4 linked regions of the Neodiprion lecontei genome follow. The protein of the gene in region 3 interacts with the protein of the main gene of each other region in a pairwise test. Links are inferred from orthologs where the notes say so. Each region holds a gene or a part of one and is shown on either strand. Other genes may lie near its edges.

Region 1 (4,645 bases), on a different chromosome or scaffold from region 3:
GTAAATGTTTACAAACTATAATTCAAAATGTAATTGATACTTTAAATGACGAATTCTCAGCTGTATTTCTATCCTGAAATTGTTTTGGGATAAAAAATGATACAGAAGGGGACTTTCAAATTATGCGATAAAAGACACGATAAGCGTCGTTGTCTAATTATTCTTTTCTTTAGGGGACACATCAGCAAAACTCGAAGATTTGTCGATTGACATCAAATTTTAACCATCAACAAAGATTCACACCAGTTTGGATTTATTGCATTGAGTGTGTTAAATATTGGTTTCAATGTTGTCGAAACTTTGTGTTCTCGAAGAGACTTTTTGCATAGCAATTTGTTTCGTTAAAATGGTCATTAATTGCATAGCTATCTTTGTAGCACAAGTAAGAAAGGTTGTTATTTTTTTTTTTTTTTTTTTCAATTTTACTTCTCATTTGATGATCAATTATCAAACTGTGCCAATAATATGTAGAACAAAGTTTAAATGATAAAAGAATAAAATAAATATCTTAAGAATTAAAATCAAAATTATTTCTAAAATTAAATGTGACCAAATCAGCACACTTTCTTCAATTGAAAATTAGTGTGACTATTCTCAATAGCAAGAAACTGACATAATTTCATAGTAGATTATCAAATTGCGATTTGGATAGTAACTTTCCTGCTTGATCTTACCAGGACAGCTATGAAGTCATTTCAAATTTTAGTGAAAGGTTGATGAAACGAGAAAATCAAAGATCACTAATTTTTGAAATTGTGTAAACCAATATCTAGAAACATACTGTGTACAATCAATCCAAATAAATATAAAAAGATTTGGTTTGCGAAACCTTATTGGTGGGGAAAATATCATTGCGATTGAAATAATTTGGAATCGCAGTGAGATCTCCCTTTAAAATCAAATAACTGATAAGTTAAAGAATCTCATGATGTTTGAATGTCGATAAAAGTTGTAAATTAGACATATTAATACTTACGTTGTTCATGTATTCGCTGAGTAGATCTTGCAGTGCTTGTCTAACTGCGTTGCACTCAGCAACAATCCGTTCCCTGCGCTCATCTCTTGTACATGAAGAATCAGCCATGAGTGCAGCTCCACTAATAATGCTTTCCAACCTTTCCTCCAGACTGGGACGAGTGCGTACTTCGTTATAAGCCAGGGGTGACATTGCCATTCTTTCATCAAAATCATCAAGAGCTGCAGCCAACTCTCCTGGTCCATCATACGGATGCTGGCCATCTGTTGGTGTTTTCCCCTGTGCTACATCATTTATAGTATTAACAGCCTCGCAGACTTGTTTCAAAACGTAATCTCTGTTAGCTTTAGCAGCAGCTAGTTCTGGGTGTCGAACGTAGACTTTAGAAGCTGTTAAAAGCATCGTTGAATGTTTCTTGAGAACAGCCCTGGCAGCTGCTAAGTCATCACGAAGTTGGGGATCTTTAAGTTCTTGCTGACGTTTAGCTGCTTGATTCATAAGCTCTGAGGCATTTCTGCCAAACTGCTTGATATTCTCCAATAGCTCGCCTTGGGAAGAAGCATTTTTCAACTTCTCTAAATCGTCTTCAACCACATGCAGAGATTTTAAAAGCAAATGCACATCAACCATGTCTGCCAATATTAGAAGACGTGTGACAGCAGATAGAAGATTCCTTGCTGCACGTACCATGTTACCTCGCTTCAGCGAAGAACAAGGATCTTCTGAAAACTCCCTGAATTAAAAAGTTAAAACTTCGAATAAACTGAATAGACCAAATCTTTGAATATCTGTGAAATATTACTGTATTAAATTAAATACAATTAATTCAACAAAGAACTTAAGAAAACTAGGTTTGATAGTTATGAAAAACTTTTCTCAAACTTCTACAAGTTTCAATCAACAAAATTAATTCAACTGTACTGACCGAGCAGCAATGCTCATCGCAGCTCCTGTTTTTCTCACTTCTTCAACGGCACTAAGCATTTCAGCCGTAATATCAGGATTTTCATATGCTATCTGCTCTCCCTTTTCAATGAAGTTAGTTGTAGCTTTTTCAACTGTTCCAACCAAGGCACTGGCACGTTTAGATTTGCCCTTCTTCTTTTTGCTTGGACCTTTGGTATTAACTAAAGTAGTTACTTGCAGAACTAATGGCTCCAACGTTTTTTCTACAGACATTGTTCGAATCTCCAAATTCTTGGGATCCCATTTTAATGTTATTGGCCCAAAGTGATCCGACATTTTTACTCCTTATCGAGTACTGCTCTGAAATAGTAAATTGGGGTTCGGTTATTGATTTGCCTATGAAACTGATGACCTCAATTTTCAGACTACGTAATGTAGATGATCATAAGAAGCAGGTTTCGGAAGTCAATCAATGAGTATGCTACCAAAGTTAGTGACTAAGTAAGGAAATGTCAAATCGTCAGTGAAGTCTACACATCAATCTGGAGTTGAGACTTGAACTTTTATTTTTATTACACAGCGCGTTTCCTGAGGCTGAATTTTAAACTTGAATACGAAGATAACTGATAAAATGTATCCAGGATAACTTTGAAGATTGAAGTCGTTAAGAATTGCAGAAGCTCAGAACTGAATAAACTTTTCAAAACCAATTAGGCAGCATGAGTACTTTCAGGATTTCCAAAGTGATTTTTAAATTCCACATTTATCACTGGAAAATGGGTGCATACACAAAGTCAAATGGAATATCAAAGGGACTGATAAAAAGTTCCAGGAATGCATCTTGACTCATCATACGAAAATGCATTAGCTAATGTTGAGTATCACAACCAATGGGCGACACAATCGCCTCGCTATTATACTGACCTTCATAAGATACGAAAAACTAACTGTTCGCACTTTTCACAATCACTAGTGATAAATTTATATTTTACTTGAACTCTAATTGCAATCGATTTATCTACTTGCTGATGACCAGTTTTACCACGAGAAGCTTGATGTCACCTCGATTTATCACACACCTTTCGTTCATGACGTCATTGCTGTCTTCAATCGGAAATGGTGCGGCAGGCGCAGGGAGGGGAGCACGGTCTACGCCCGAACCAGGGACGAAGAGATACAAAGAATATGAGCGACATTTTACCTAAGCAGAATTTTAATCATCCAACCGGGTTTTCAGCAGTTGGTCTCAGAGCGAATAGAAATCCGTCTACTATAGAAGGTGACGAATCACATACACCTGGTAGTAGTGATTGGCTGCAACCACTCGTGTGTACATGCGACCGGCCCGCTGTGACGTCAACGGCACTCCCAACTATTTCTAGATGCTAGACACTAGATTCGATCGCGCAGATACAGCTAGATGCACAGTCGGTAGCACGGTCTTACATACAGGGTCTGGGAACTTTGGTGGTCGGGATGTGTTCTCTTATTGAAGCACTGGCCGTTTCGCCTAGTGACCACGTGTGTCGCTGCTATTGAGGGATCCAGGCTGTGCGAAAGAAATGGAAGCAGTTTGTTGACCGTCCGTGGCATCTATATCTATAATACCGTAGTACGACAGCGTAGCTAGTGGACAAATCAGGAACACAGTTTGGTCACACCACGGTCTTATAGACAGGTCTGGGCACTCCAAGCCCCTTCCTATATAACGCAGCGTGACCGTCTTGAAGCCTGTCTTTCTCAATTTGTACACCAAAGTCCGGATCGCTGCAATCTCCGAGGCCTGTGTGCAGCAAAGAGGGGAATATAGGGCAGCTGTCTTTTTCTCCGTGCGCTTGCGTGCTAAGTAGGCCTCTCCCTCACTAGCGCTAGCGGCAAAAATTCACAACATCGGCTTCATTTTCGAGCACGGTTTTACAGCCTGAGTGCCGAGACCTGTGTATACGACCGTGGGTCACAACTACGACGACAATCCGCACCGCTTAAAATTAGCAGAGTTTCAGGCCTGTATGTAAGACCGCGCGTGAGGCACGTGAGGTCTTAAGATAGGTTATGTCAAGGCGCCGTGTTGCACACAGTTGTTTAATTTTTTGCTCAAGAAATAAGGAATTTATCCTTATAAACGAATCCGACAGTAGTCAGTTGTTAAAACTTTACATGCCAGATTAGTGAATTAATTAGTTCTGTTCTTAGGTACTCTGCGTATCAATAATTATGGATAACGTACTGGATGATGCGCGATTTGCACATGTTGCAAAAGATCCGAGATTCAGACGCATTCCTAAAACTGAGCGAAAAGTAAAAATTGACAAGAGATTTCGGCCTATGTTTAATGACAAAAAGTTTCTTCTGAAGTATACTATTGATAAAAGAGGAAGACCGAGTAATCAGTCGTCGAATGAAAATTTAAAAAAGTATTACCATTTGTCAAGCAATGATGATGAAGAGTCAGGTAGTGATGAGAATGTCAAATCAACTAATATTGAAAACAAGGTACGAAAAGATGTAAAGCCTAAAAGTGTTACTGGCATGAACGGAGATAGATTGGATCATTTACAAAATCTGTCTGACCGAAAATCAAAAAGCAAGATAAAACGCACTACCAAAGTAGCCCATTTGTTGGGAAATGGAGAACTGCTGCGTACTAAAACCCAAGCTGACAGTGACTTAGTATCAGAATCCGAAAATGATGAAAATGAATATTCTAAATCTGAGGATGAATTGGAATCAATTTCTAAAGTTACTATGGATTTTGAGAACGGC
Region 2 (4,728 bases), on a different chromosome or scaffold from region 3:
ACATTGAATCGGAGCATCTGACTACCATAGAATCAACTAATATAGACCTTATTTTTGCCGTCAAAAAAGTGGTGTTGCAATTTGTGCCAGTCAACGGCAGGCGGGCCTGCTAAAGGGCCGCTAGAAACATTCCCCGCGCCTTGTGCAGGTGCCTGAGGAGGCCCTTGGGTAGGGTCCAAGCCGCCAGCAGCAGGGCCTTCGTCTTTGCGCTCGGGGAAAAGCATCATATGCATTTTTCTTATAGTGGCAAGCTGCTCTTCACGGTGCAGACGTTGCTGAGGGGTCAAATTCTCGTCAGGTACCTTGACACCCTGCAGAGAAGGCTGCAGACCTGAGGAACCAGGACTGTTCGGTGCCCCCAGGAGGCTTGGGCTGTGGCCCAATGCGGTGCTAGTTGGTGGCTGAGAGTTACCTGTCCAGGATCAAAAATCGTTGACGTCATCAATCATATACATACAACCGCTGCTTTTCCATAGCCCTTCTAAGCTCCGGGCAGCCAATTAAAAATACGATTCACCGCTCTCCAAACAACATTCAACATTCGTTCATTTTTATTACTTTCGGTCAAAAAACGGATAGTCGAATTTCGTTTGGTCTAACTCAATTATTAGCGGTAATACCTGGGTTGTTAGGGGAGTTCGGCACAAGGCAAGGCACATCGATATTGTTATCGTCGAGGGAGGAGTCTGGGTTGCCCATTGAGCTACTGCCATTCAAGTTTCTGATTGTACTTTGCTCATTCCAAAACGGAGGCGCATTGGGCTCAAGTGCAGGAAGGTCCGGCGGCTGCTCGGTGGGAAAAGCACTATTCGGCCCGCCCTGTTGGCCTTTCTGCTTCATCATCGCTAGATTATTCAACCACTGGGCAGGGTTTGGTCTGAACTGGTTCACCTTACTAGGGTGTTTCTGAAACGACAATGGTGATAAAAAAATCCTTCTATTTCAATAATCTGCAGAAATATACCAATTGCTATCTTCGCTCAGTGGTTTACAAAATAAATCAATACGCTATGGTGGTCTCAACTATGCTTCAATATTGATATCTGTCATTATCAAGTTTAATTTGATAGAAAATTATTGAATCATTGGAAGAATAAAAAAGTTAACAAGTTACGATAAAAGGGAGCAATTTCTGCAATTAATGACTTAAAGGTATATTATATTTCAAAATTTAAATAAAATACCCTGACTTTTCCTGACTTTCCAGATTTGTGACGATCCTGCCTACGTACCTCCAGATACTTCTTGGTGCCTGGCTGTGCGCAATGATAAGCAATTATCGATGGGAATTGTCCCTGCAAAACCGCTTCTGCGCCTTTATTTGCCAGCATAGTAGAAAATACAAATATCTGGCTCTGCTGTTGCATGTACTGAGCATCCCCTCCGCCTGTGCCAGTGCCCATTTGCTTGGCAAGCACATTGCTCACTAGGGGTTGAATTCCGTCAGACGAGAGTCCAACGCTTGCTGCGCAGTCTGGGTAAAATAATAAATAGTAATCGTTAATCTATGCCCAAGGTGAAAAATTAACCAAGATACCGAGTGCGCACCATTTTGCAGATCATCGCCAGGATGGTTCTGTTCATTTTCCTGTTTTACAGAGCCAAGTATGGATTGATTATTAGTACTATTTTGATTTTCTTGAGACATAGTGCCATCCGTGTGATTGGGATCGATGTTTGAATCCCTTTGGCATTCCGTCGATTCCTCCCTGATGGTGTTCTCATTATTGCCAGTTCCTGCTACCCCGGACTCCTCCTTTATTTTAACCGAATCTGTATCAGGTTCCTCCTTGACGACGGTGGTCGTAACGCACGTTGCTTCGCTCGATTTTTTCTCCGTTTTCATTTTCGTATTATCGGAGACGAGCGACGACGACGTCAAACGGCTGTTGATACTTTTTCACCACTGAGCAGCATGGCCAGTCTAGTTTTTCAATCCATCCATGATTAAGGATACAATTCCACCGATACAACATCCAATGATTAACTCAAGATATTCTTTAGATCTCTTGTCCGTCAAGAAAGATTGGAAAAAAAAAATACCCAAAAAAACACAGGAGCGAAAAGATGAAAAGAAATAAAAATAAGAATATCCAATATCCACACTCGAGCACACACACGCGCGAGAAAAGCACAAAACTGAAAAACTCGTGATATGCGAAGTGAGAATAAATTTTTAAAAAAAGTATGTAGGAACTACGTATTACGTGCACTGATCAAGGCAGCAGCGTGTCCCCGACCAGAAGCATGTTTTGGCTTCACCTTCGGCCAGCAGAGTGTTATTGTTCGGCTGGGACGCGGGGGAGGAATCACCTGATGCGAGAATGGAGGTTGAAATTGCTTTACTTCACGCAGGATACGTCGCACTTGTTCGCACGGACAGTTGTTTATTATCCGATTTTATAGGCACTGGGAGAACTGGGTTGATGGTAAAACGCTCCGCTCGACGGCGGATTGAGTTCAGAGTCGCGAGAGTCGAGAGGCCGAAATGTCAGCCCATAAAGCCTCGGATTACCGAGGTCTGCATGCCTTCGGCCGTGGAAAATTTTTTATCCGTTATACAGACGCCGGTATTACTGTTATTGAGGCTTGTCCACCGATCGACGACGTTACACTTGATTTTCACCGCCTAGAACCTCAGCATTGTGTTTCTTCAGCTTTTATTTGTCACTTCATGGTCGCTTTGCTTATTTATTTCTTTTCAAACACGCTTGCCAACCCCTAGCCAATTGTTAATTCATCAAGGGTATACACGGTATACAATATCAGATTTTGTTACTAGATTTTTCGTTCAGATCTGCCACTATTAAGTGCAGTATTGCCATGTATATTATGTACGGTGCATTCAACCATTTGCTGGGAGTTCTGACGATGATCGGTGGTTCTGTGTTTCACCCGCTCTACTTGGATTGTTGGTGATCTCTATTTCACTTCTAGAGAATTAGGTCCATGAATTTTCAGCGCTACCGCAGTTCATTTTGTAACTCAGCCATGGGAAAAGGAACGAATATAGTTCACGGACAGTGCCCGAAATTTTGAAACACGACCGAACGTTGTATAGTTAGTCCATATGATAAAGTAACACAAGCGCGAGGTGCTGCCATCTAACGTTTTATCTCGCTCGTAAATGCGTGGCGAAAAGTGTGCAACATTATAAAATCATTACTCGGGCTGGTATGTGTGAAAGATAAAAATTGGATACAAAAATAACAATAAAATAAAAATTATCGACCGATCTATTCGTAGACAAAGCGATGAAAGGATAAAAGTGACGAAAGAATCTCCGGCTGAAATCCATACCGTGAGATATCAGCGGCGACCCAGTAGAAACAATATCGGACAACTAGTGCGTGTTGAACCAGTGACGCCGCAACACAAAGAAATTACGCATATGAACAAGCGCAATAGCGACAGACGCGACAGCATCGAACTGCAGTGCGAGTCAGGATAGTTGCTAGAACTACGCAAGATTCTACAAGCAACGTTGAGGAGGAGACATTTTCATCGCGTTTATAGGCGATAGAATTCGATCACCGAGTAACGGTAATAAAAGCATCCTATCGTTTGACAATAAAAGAAGTGTGTTAGGCGGGGGGTAAAGCGCATCGGCATGAGTGCGTGTTTACGTTCGGTACCAAAACACCAATGACCTTGAAACTCGTGATTATTCGGGGGTCACGTGACGCACGGGACGGCCAGGGATTGGCGGACCGCGACGCGTACCCTGCGCCCCTGGGATGCTCGATAGATCGTTTCGCAAGATGAAGTCCGAATCAAAACCTTTGTTGACAGCTCAAACAGAAAAGGCGAATCATTACACGTAAGTAGTGCCTGGCGGGGCCCCCGAGTGTGACGACAGACAGTGGTGCAGTGCTCACGGTCCAGTGTACAACGAATAATGTGTAGTTCTGTGGATTCGCATTCCAGATATTTGAAGGAATTCCGCGTGGAACAATGCCCCCTCTTTATACAACGCAAATGCACCCAGCACAGGCCCTTCACCTGCTTCAACTGGCACTTTATGAACCAGCGGCGACGAAGGCCCGTAAAAAAACGTGATCGGACCTTCAATTACAGCGCCGACAATTACTGCACCAAGTACGATGAGACAACCGGCCTTTGTCCCGACGGAGACGAGTGAGTACTTCCTTATCTCCCCTCCCCATCCCCATCCCCCTTTACCCTCCGTCCAACACCCACCCGCTTTTTTTTCTTATCGTCGCCCATATTTAACCACCCTTGGAAGCTCGAACATTATTTTCTTACATCATTCGGACCGCGCTACCCGCCAATTTCTCACGCCGTCGCGGCTCTCCACACGATTTTCGCATTATTTTCACACACGCCAGGAGCTGATTTTGCACAAAGGAACTCTGTCGGTATTGATTTTCTCCTACTTATCCTAACAACAAAGAACCAACACTGCCTTGTACTCTTTCATATTATTGTCATTTATCCTACACAGTTGTTTGTTCACCAATAATAAATCCATACTGTATACCAGGGATGGCCAACCGATCGATCGATCCTGGCTACCAGGCCAGTCGATCGCGACAAAGCAAAGAAAAATACATAACTGTCAAACAAATATTTCTTGTAATTCTGCGGTAAAGATTTGAGATTGGTAGATCGCACAGAGTCTGGACAGTAAACGATAGATCTCGGGTCCGATCAAGTTGGTTATCCCTGCTGTATACCGACGATCGTTCTACAATTTGACCACTTCAC
Region 3 (4,861 bases):
AATGCCGTAGTTCAAGCGGACCGAATTTTGGGCCATTTCGGCGTCGACGTGACGCGAAGTTAGATGACGGAGAGCACAGACTGCTGGCTCTGTTATCTCCTCGCGATCACCAGCGCTGACAATAGTGCGCACAAGTGCGTCGACTCCCCCAACTTGACACACTGTGACCTGAAATAAGTTTTTAAGATACTTTTGTGAATATTTTGCTTCTTCACCTCATTTATTTCCTTACTCTGTAAGAAATTTGACGCACCTTGTTGCGTTGATTGTTGCATGTCAAATTTGACAAAATACCGGCTGCACATGTGACAACGTTTACGTCGCTTGAAGTCAGCACCTGCACTAATCCTTGCAGCAGACCCTCCAATCCGTCAACTTTTGTTCCTGCGTCAGAGAGATTTCGCAGTGTCCACAAGCAATTCTGAACCAGTCTTGGACTCGAGTTTCCAAGATGCATTGCCAAGGCTTGCATACCGCCAGCTTCGACAATTGCTGGTTTGTTGCTGGAGCACACCGACAGCACTGAGGAAGAGAAGAGAATACATATTGAAATATGATTGTTGCGTAAGAGGTGGCAGGGATAATTTCAGTGAATATTGTCTATAAGTCCCTAGATATTGTTAGATTGTATTTTACCCTTCAAGACTCTGGAGGTTGTCCACAAGAGCTTCTCATACTCATAAGAGCGCATAATTCGTACAAGTTCGATTGGTCCCTGAGAAGCGAGGATGATCAGCTTGCTTTCTTGATTGCCGTAAGCGAGAATTTGGAGACAGTCAGTTACAATAGCCAAAAATTTCACGTTGTTACGCTGAAGAAGAGCAACCATCTTCTGCAGTCCACCGGCAAGACGTACGGCCATTTTAGAACCGTCTTGGTGAAGCAGCAGATTGTGAAGCGTGGTTATGGCGTAGAATAATACAGACTCTACTGGTGAACTCAACAGCTTAACAAGAGCAGGGATACCGCCACTTTTGAAAATAGCCAGAAGCCCTTGTCTGTGGTGAGACAAATTGTGCAGAGTTCCGACCGCAGCTTTCGTTGATTCAAGATCATTGCTGTTTGAGATTGCTCGTACAAGAGCAGCCACCATTTGGGGACTGTTCATAATAGCGTGTCGTGAGGCTTCCTTTTTAGACAACTGATGCACCATCATAGCAGCTTGCGAAACTATAACCTGATCCTCGTCGTTGAGGAGCTTGATCAACTCTGGAATCGCACGAGTTGCCAGATCTGCATCATCCTGATAGTTGATCAAGTTGACCACTGCGTGCTTCAACATTTGGCTTGGCTCTGCCAGTCTTTGAACTGCGGTTGGTTGCGCTGGATCATACTGTGTAGATGGTATCTCAATACCCTCCTCTAATGTTTCAGGGAACATTGCTGCGCGTACACGCTGTGATCTCGTGTGGCTCAGTTGTTGATTCATTTCTGTTGAAATAAAAATGATTGTTGAATATTTTAATTGAATTTTACAAGATTCGTTAACACGTACTCCTCGCTGTTTACAACTTGACAGAATTATTTTAAACTGAGGCTGAAGTTTGTAGTAATTTCAAGCAGGAAATAATACTCCGTAATATTTTGGGTTTTTTTCTTCCATATGTAATAAATATTTCAATAATATTTTCCTCACCGTCGACTTGGTCCTGTGTGAATCCTTGAGCGAAGCCCTGATCCAAGTCGAACATGAGTTGGTCTCCCTCTATATCGTCATCTTCCTTTCCTGACAGAGACTGCGCCTGAGTCGCAGCCCCTGAGTGGATTCCCGAGTCGCCCATGTAGGAGTTTTGTTGCCACATGAGAGTCTGCTCTTTGGCAGAGCCCATCGGTAGGTCTGCCGGGCCTTGATAGCTGCCGTGCGACACTGGAAGTTACGAATATAACAGAAAATTGATTCAACTTCAAATCGAAAGGCCCTAAGGTCAGACCTGTAATTCAAATCAGATGGTACTTACTGGGTCTAGATTGATTCGACGTCATTTGATAACTCATGGCTCCAACGGGCGAAACACTCCACACCTGCATAAAATGGGGATTATTATGTAATTTTGTATCAGATCGATCGGAGTAAGTTTAGTATTGAATGTGTATTACGCAACAGTCTAAAATGTCACAAATTACAACTAATGAAAGCACGTCTTTTTTTTGTTCAGAGACACCAAACTGCATATAGATATACGTACATATGTCTAGCTGCTATGTAACTTTCATTCTTATGCAAATTTGACAACAGACTCATCGCTCCTATGATTCATATTACCAGCTAGCTAACGATTGTGAGATAACAAGTATCTCGTAATACGCACTTGTAATATTTAGATTAACACCAGTGTATTTAATCATACAGATATAAAACATATATCTGATCGAAGCAGAAAAATGTACAAATGTATGATAAAAAAAAAATAATAAATAAAATAAAATACATGTCTACCACAATCCTCAAAAAACCTATTCACGCTAATAGCAAAGCGAATAGTACAAGATGCACGCAGGTGCACATATCCGTTCGAGTAAAGCGATAGGTAGGTAGTTTTTTTTTTTTTTACTCTCCCTTCTATTTCTCTTTTTTTTTATTTTCCATACTTAATTTATCGACGAAACGCCGGGGATCATACGAACTGCTTTAGAGGGTGAAAAAGGACCGATAAAGCGTATTAAACGAGTGTGATACCCGGAGTGGGCCAAGAAACCGAAGCGTGGGTACGCGTGGGTGTTGCGGCACAACAAAGGGCTCAAGAATGCAATGCATCACCATTTTCTGACAATCGGAAGGGGGCAATGGAAGCACTTTTGACACACCCAGGCGTAAACACGAAAATCGGGGATAATCAGGCCTCAGAGGGCGAGACCGGGGGCGCGAATAACGCAGGATAACATTGTTTCACTTACCGTTTACCAGAGGGTCGATAATTATTGTTATTCGTGCGAATATCGTCCGTCAAACTACGCGAGTGACTCACTTTACACCAGCCAGCTTCCAGTTCCCCCTTCCAAGCACTGCCTCCTCGCTCCGCCAACTAAACATGGCGGATCCAGCGGCCGCAGCGCGCCCTTTACGACGAGACGAGGACCTGCGCCGCGCAGAAAGTAGTCCCGATGTTTAGACGCGGTGATTAGAGTATGACACACTATAATATGACTCGAGTCGATATACTGTGCCGTGTCGGCGGTACAAAGCATGCGTGAAGTTTCAGCCTCCCGCAGAAGCTTCGGGGAACCGGTCAACGGCGCTGATTCGGATCATGGGACGATTGGGTAGAATTCGAATTGAAAAAAATAAAACAAACTGTCACGATCCGTAGAATCTTTGGGTTAGGAGGAAACCTTTTTGTGTTACTACGCCGATAGTGGACCGAGCGATCAAGTGCCGAGTGTTGCCACTTGACTAATTGTTCCATGTGCTCGAAATAGGCAATAAATTCGATGCCGTACGAGCCTCTCGACGCTCTCTGCATACGCCTTTTTCATCATTCACTCTTTGTCGGATTTTTTCATCATTCGGGTCTGAGGACATCGTTTGGAAATCGGAGAATTCCCAGCTGACTAAGCCGAACACTAATCGGCGGCATTGCGTGACTCCTATACGTACTACAGACTCTAGTCTACGGTATTCGGAGAATTAGAAAAGCGCGGTATACGCGTCAGAACTATTCCTTTATTTCATGTTAGCTTATGTTCTTAGTTTGTGACGAAATTCGCAGATGATAATTGACCGGGAAACTTCCCTCGTGCATCGTCCACAGGCGTAAATCATACTTTTATAAGGATTTAACATGTATGAATCTACATAATGTATAGGTATAGTAACAGTTATACCTAACTGGTTAATAAAGTTATTCTGTGTTAAATTCTACTGGATTTATCTCTCCATTTACATATAATAATCGTAAATATTTCATCTTTCAACAAACAGTCGCCCTGATGCCTACATCTTCTATAATCACGTGGCGTGCTCCATAGGGTTCGAGCTTAAGCAAACATACATGATTATGGCAACAAAAAGCCAGCGTTTGTAGATATATTTCAGATAAATGATTGTTCGTTTATTATCGATGGATGAGATATTTAAAATTCTGCGAATAACTTTTTTCTCCAACTAGTCTCGTTCAGATGAAATTGTATGATTTTTCTATTTTGCTTCTAAACGAAGGCCGCTCGAACCGCTCCCAGCTTTTTATGGTCAGAATCGACCCTTGCAGGGATAATAGGGAACCGCTATTTTACCTGAACGAAACGCGACAGCACAGAGAATTGCTTGAACTGCGCAGTTTGAAATCTAGCTAACTTTGTACAAGGAGTTGTTCCTTTTTAATCTCCACGTGGAAACGAGATAAGCCTGAGCAAGTTGACCGAAGAATCAACCGTGGAATTTATACTCTCGCGTTCCTGCAATTACCATTATTTAAGTAGCTATGCCGCGGTTTTACACGCCAGACTAATGTCTAGCTTGAAACTAAGTTGATTTATTATAGTTGTATTATAGCTGCGTAACATGACCGTAGTATAGTAACTCCAGAAATTTCAGCTACGTTTATCGCTCGTAATTATACCATTTTAGCAATTCTGATAGATTATCTCTTCGTTCTCAATTACAGCGATTCTATTTGCTCTTGAAAGTAACTATCGAAACGCTGCGAAGATTCTAAAATCGGCGCATGTTATTCTCGATCGGAGGTGCCACAAGCGCCTACACGAATGCAACCGATATAGCACGCGCGCTTGGCGTGTAGCGTGTGTCGCTCGTTAGGGGAGCGTTTCGAAACGAAATTTGTGTTATTACCGCACGATCGCGACAAAACGAAGTCGTGAGTTAAGCGAGACGTAAATCGGAGCAAAACGGACAGTCCGCTTTTCA
Region 4 (4,990 bases), about 38 Mb from region 3:
TTATTGTTTAGCTTAAAAAAAAAAAAAAAAGTAAGATTTGTTACCGGTGCAATTAGAGCAACTATTTATCAATTCCCAGAGGATTTTTCCTGCATGGAGGCTGACTACATGCACGATTCTACACAGGATTACGAATCAGACATAATGTCGTATCGTGAGTAATTATGCAGCTCTGCGGTATTCTTTTTACTAATTTTTACCAAGTAAACTAAAATTAACTTTATCGTAATCGGAATTTTTTCAAGCCAAGGAATAAAATGCCCTGACTCTGCGACGAGATTCTCGGTTTCGAGTGTCAGGCCTAATACTTTAGGCTAGAATAAGAATCCAGCAAACGTGTTTAACACCCGACTCCGATTACGTAAGATCGTATAGAATTACATAATTGCTTTGTTTCAGTCGAAAACAGAGCTGAGAGAAACCGACCAAACAGCATGGCGGAAGGTTATCATCTTCCGGGTAGCACCTACGGAAGAGCAGAAAATAGCGGTAAGCCATCAAACTACCCCGGTGAAAATGATTGCTACAATTTTCTACGAAATTTTTCCGGAAAATCGGGTCATTTCGTACGACATTGTGCAAAAAATTATTGTCGTACTTGTAAAAGCTTGTAGATTTTCATGAAACTATCTATTGTTTCAAAAAAAAACTCTACAAGCTGTTACGATTTTTAACGAAAATTAATAATTCTTTAAGAAAAATTATGCATGTTTACAATTTTTTTTTAAGATATAATACGAAGTGTTGAAATTTCTGTAAAAATTCGTAGTGGTAGAAATTTTTTTCTGCTTCGAGAACTAATGAAAAATGTTTTTCCGATTCAATAGATGATTACAAAATGTATACAAGTACACCGAAAAGGAATCAAAGAACAACCAGAGCAGAAGCCTTTGGTAATTAATGTTTTACTCGGAATTCGAATGTTGTTTGAAACGGATGAAGCATGAAAATGATGAAAATAAATTGTTTAGAAATGCCTGACGGGTCTAAAATGTTCAACGTAACGTTCGAAGAGTGCTTGAAATTCGGACGAAGATTGAGACACACCAGTGATGTCAGGGACAACGAGGGGTGTCAAATTATGCAATTGGATCGTAAAATTGATGAAAAGCCGAATGGAACAAGGCACAGAATCGACATTGCTAGGAGATGGCTTAATATGGACGACGACAACGGAAACGGGTTTTATTGAAAATTGTAAAACGTTGATAGAAAAAAAAAAAAACAATTCAATTATCAACAGTAGAACGTCTCTGTGACAAGGAACGTTTCACGATAATAATAAATCGCATGAATTTGTCCATTTACGTATATCCTTCTTTGTTCATTATATCACCAATTCCATCCGTATGTTGTGTATAAAAAACTAATGAGTTTCTATCACGATATAATTACTGATTTGGTTGCTTGATTAGAGGATTAGGACGAAATCGAAAATACAAATGTATATAGAAACTGAGTAGCAATGGTAAAAAAAACAAAGATGATCTGAAAACAGATGTCGTGTTAACAGCTTGGTATCGATGAAACAAATTTTTGTCTCCAAATTCTAAACTAACCAAATTCGAAATTGATGTAAATATTTTCCAGTCTTGAGATTATTAACCCAGGTTGAATAAACAAAAAGAAAAAAAAAAAAATCACCAAGACATTAAAACCAAGAATGAAGAGATCCGGATGTGGAAGTCAGGGAAAAAAGCACGGTAAATTAAAGGGACGGAATTGCATTGCAATTGATTATGGAACTTTGAGGATGATCGTATCAGAAAGTGGCGAATGTGATGTGTCGGAAATTGACTATTAAAATTTCAATGATATACCGTAATTTAGTTGACTGGAATTGCATTGTAGCTGGTGGTTCGTTCGGCATTGGTTATAACCTTGCATTTCTCTTTTCGAACTCTAAACCCGCGTTTAGAAGCATCGAAACCATGAACAATGATTTCCGTTACAGCCGTCACGATCACCCCCCAAAAAAGGGAAGATATTTTTTTATTTAACTTTTTCGGTGCGGTTTAATCCCAGGAGTTTTCCCTTCACTCTTCAATTTACAGCCAAAATGTCCGCCTGCGACGTAAACGAGGACGAATTGGAAGTGGACATGGAGGACTATCGTAAGTCAAGCCTTGTTGTATAATTGTTAGTGTAACTTTGCGGTACGTTTCGCTAATTAAATCACTCGAAGAGTAAATTTGAACAAATACCGTTCTTTAGTGATGAATATGACGTCTCTATCAACCGTTTCCAAAGGAAAGAGTTTTGGAATACCTCACGACACTACCCTGGATACATCGAAAATAACATCACGACCACTTATGGAAACGGTGGAAAAAGGTGATGTAATAAATTTCGTGTCCATGTGTTATAGTTGCTAACTAATCGGATCCGAGTTACTGGCTTGTTGACAAAGTCCAGTAATTCTACAGGTGCAAGACTGACGAGTGAAGTTCGTGCAGAGTAATATAAGTATTCGGTTTAGATAATAAACGTTGATGTAATTTCCAGAGATATCACCAGACGTTAAGCAATACAACACAAAAATAACGGAGGAAGATCCCTGCAGCGGAAAAAGGGCTGTGATGCATATGTCGCATGTTTTGAATAAGAAAACTGGAACGATTATCACTGTTCAAAGAACCGATTACACAGGTGGATGTCCTGTGAAAGACAAAAATTTGGGCTTTGCTGAAAGTACAAGACTTTCATCAAAACGTTAGAAGAAAATATGCACGGAGAATGAAAAATGAATAACGATAAAAATCGAAATTATGGGCATATAAATTTGGCATAATTTACTTGCCTGAATATTGTTAAACATCATAGGTCGCGTGATGAGAAAAATAATCATGGTATTTATGCTTTCGAATCGTCAAATTCGATACCTTAAAAAAATAATAAGACTCGTTTACCTTATTTTATAGACGTAGCCTCGCCTCATTTGAAACACCTTATTTCGATTCCAAGCTTGGCAATTAAGTCTTCGAGCCACGTTCGTTTTATTCGAGTCTCGAGGGCTGCGTAATAATTTTTTTTCTGAAAGATATAAAGAGAGAAATGTTAGGAAGGAAAAAGTAAAATCAGTTCAAAAATGGTGCATGGTAATCATGTCTCGCCTTACTGTAACGTCCGAGACTTTAATAAGTTTCTGTGCTGAGCACGAGGTGATCAAAAGATTAAAATGAAAGGTAATCGAAATTTCGGGTACTCGAAGTCGGGTTCGGGTCGGGTTTTTTGGCAAACCGGAAATCTTCGGGTAATCTAAAAACATCGGGTAATTTGAAAACTTCGGGTAATCCGAAATCTTCGAAAATCTCCGTTCACTTTAGAAATCCCGATATTTTTGGAGAAGCGAAAATAGATACGAGCAAAATTTTCGGAAAACCCAACATTCTTGAGGAACTCGAGATTCTCAGGTACACGACCCGAAAAATTTCAGTACCCGCACACCTCTAGTGACCATCATTGTGCAGCTGCAGCTGTCTCAAGGTACTTAATAAAAATACTTGCATCTGCAGAAGGGACAATGAGAACTGTAGAAGGACTTTTCCAGGTATAGCCGAACCGCGTTAAAATTTTTAGCCGCCAATTCAACGATCTTTGCGAGCTGCCGCTCAGGGTCAAGATAATGTGATTTCACACTTCCTACCAGGCAAGCGTTCTCATTGGTTTGCAAAGTTTAATCAACCAATCAGAATGCAATACGTTGTTCTTGTTTAATGTCAATTCTTTTAAAGAATTCGAAATTAGATGGCAACGGTGAAAACTTCTTAGGACAGAGGCAAAGCTCCTCGCGAACTGCGGCGCCAAAGAGATAAAAGATTGCTGACAGCACTAAATGGGAGCTAATTTCTGCATTCGTTACATATTTACACCAGATACCGGGATGATTTCGCATGTTTCTACGACGACTTGAATTATCCCAATTTGCGCAAGACTCCATAGGTGAGACATTAAATGATGAAAAATAAGCTGCGATGTAAAAAAAAATTAATATTAATAAAATGTAAATATCGACTTGCGAAAGTTCTCGTGTATGCTTCTTTCATATTCAATCTCCTCGTAAAAAAATTTATTTTCAGTTTCAGGTTATCCTCCATTGTCGAATAGTAATATTTCGCCATACACTTAATATTCGAAAATATTTACATTCAACAAGAATAAAGCATTGCATATTTTCATATAATTTCCAACTTTTCCCAAAGGTACCTGAACGCATACCTGGATGCGACGTCCTTTGTTCCCCCACCACCAAGAGGAAATTCTGTGTTCGCAACCTTTTTCAGGTCAAATTGGGCTCTCACTTCACCGTTATAATCGGCAATTATCACTACGAATTGTAGACGGAGGCCTCGACAAGGTCCGACATTTTACAATCGGGAGAGAAATTATAAAAATAACAAACTGATTATTTTCGATGAAAATTAATTATAAAATATTAATAACTTGCAATATCGTAATACGTCTGTTTTTAGAATTGCGTGGAGAGTGAAAACATGAAGAGAAGAAAAAAAAATTGTCGGTAACGAGATTCCATACAGAGCTGGCGATAATTAAGTTTACCGTTAATTTGAAAAGTACAACGTATACGAGTACGCACAAATTTTCCTCGTTCGATTTTCTCGGAATTGTCTCGCGCCTTACTATTTACAGTGAAGTTTGTGTCGAATACAAACAAAATCTTTATACGTCACACAATAATTATGCCTTGCCTAAACTATAATGTACTATCTGATTGCTGGATGTTATTACACACATTTTTTACGCACGTGTATATTAAATATGGTAGGCATGCAGAATAATATAGCACTCGATTCTACTCTGGGAAATATGCGCTTTGCGTTGTGAAACGTGATAATTGTTAGAAAAAACTTGTCACACGTACATACATATATACATGCATACATACTGGGGTGAGCCAAAAAAGCTAACCTATCCAATCTTTGGTCTTAAAAGGACCTATTTACCGAGAAAAAAATTGAAATAAAAAAAA

Evidence for each region.
Region 1: the proteins of armadillo segment polarity protein (region 3) and catenin alpha interact in binary tests that used the Drosophila melanogaster proteins (3 or more experiments, as listed by UniProt). The link is inferred for Neodiprion lecontei from reciprocal best matches to the Drosophila melanogaster genes arm and alpha-Cat.
Region 2: the proteins of armadillo segment polarity protein (region 3) and protein BCL9 homolog interact in binary tests that used the Drosophila melanogaster proteins (3 or more experiments, as listed by UniProt). The link is inferred for Neodiprion lecontei from reciprocal best matches to the Drosophila melanogaster genes arm and lgs.
Region 4: the proteins of armadillo segment polarity protein (region 3) and axin interact in a two-hybrid assay, tested with the Drosophila melanogaster proteins (2 studies listed by BioGRID). The link is inferred for Neodiprion lecontei from reciprocal best matches to the Drosophila melanogaster genes arm and Axn.

What each region holds. Positions count from the first base shown.
Region 1 is NC_060265.1:18,568,778-18,573,422, reverse strand, and holds the start of catenin alpha, read right to left. Parts: upstream 3,050-4,645; 5' UTR 2,962-3,049; exon of another isoform or gene 2,807-2,961; intron 2,243-2,806; 5' UTR 2,219-2,242; coding exon 1,902-2,218; intron 1,710-1,901; coding exon 977-1,709; intron 1-976. Other genes in the region: ESF1 homolog, read left to right, coding at 4,097-4,645. UniProt on the Drosophila melanogaster protein: Associates with the cytoplasmic domain of a variety of cadherins. The association of catenins to cadherins produces a complex which is linked to the actin filament network, and which seems to be of primary importance for cadherins cell-adhesion properties.
Region 2 is NC_060264.1:35,193,425-35,198,152, forward strand, and holds the start of protein BCL9 homolog, read right to left. Parts: upstream 3,019-4,728; 5' UTR 1,847-3,018; coding exon 1,549-1,846; intron 1,475-1,548; coding exon 1,233-1,474; intron 907-1,232; coding exon 621-906; intron 413-620; coding exon 48-412; intron 1-47. Other genes in the region: putative E3 ubiquitin-protein ligase UNKL, read left to right, coding at 3,738-3,820, 3,907-4,137. UniProt on the Drosophila melanogaster protein: Involved in signal transduction through the Wnt pathway.
Region 3 is NC_060261.1:41,591,262-41,596,122, reverse strand, and holds the start of armadillo segment polarity protein, read right to left. Parts: upstream 3,030-4,861; 5' UTR 2,896-3,029; intron 2,023-2,895; 5' UTR 1,996-2,022; coding exon 1,959-1,995; intron 1,868-1,958; coding exon 1,637-1,867; intron 1,432-1,636; coding exon 637-1,431; intron 523-636; coding exon 254-522; intron 169-253; coding exon 1-168. UniProt on the Drosophila melanogaster protein: Isoform neural may associate with CadN and participate in the transmission of developmental information. Can associate with alpha-catenin.
Region 4 is NC_060261.1:3,714,794-3,719,783, forward strand, and holds the start of axin, read right to left. Parts: upstream 3,023-4,990; 5' UTR 2,910-3,022; intron 1,272-2,909; exon of another isoform or gene 1,193-1,271; coding exon of another isoform or gene 972-1,192; intron 894-971; coding exon of another isoform or gene 828-893; intron 490-827; coding exon of another isoform or gene 400-489; intron 155-399; coding exon of another isoform or gene 94-154; exon of another isoform or gene 80-93; intron 1-79. Other genes in the region: uncharacterized protein LOC124292941, read left to right, coding at 94-154, 400-489, 828-893, 972-1,192.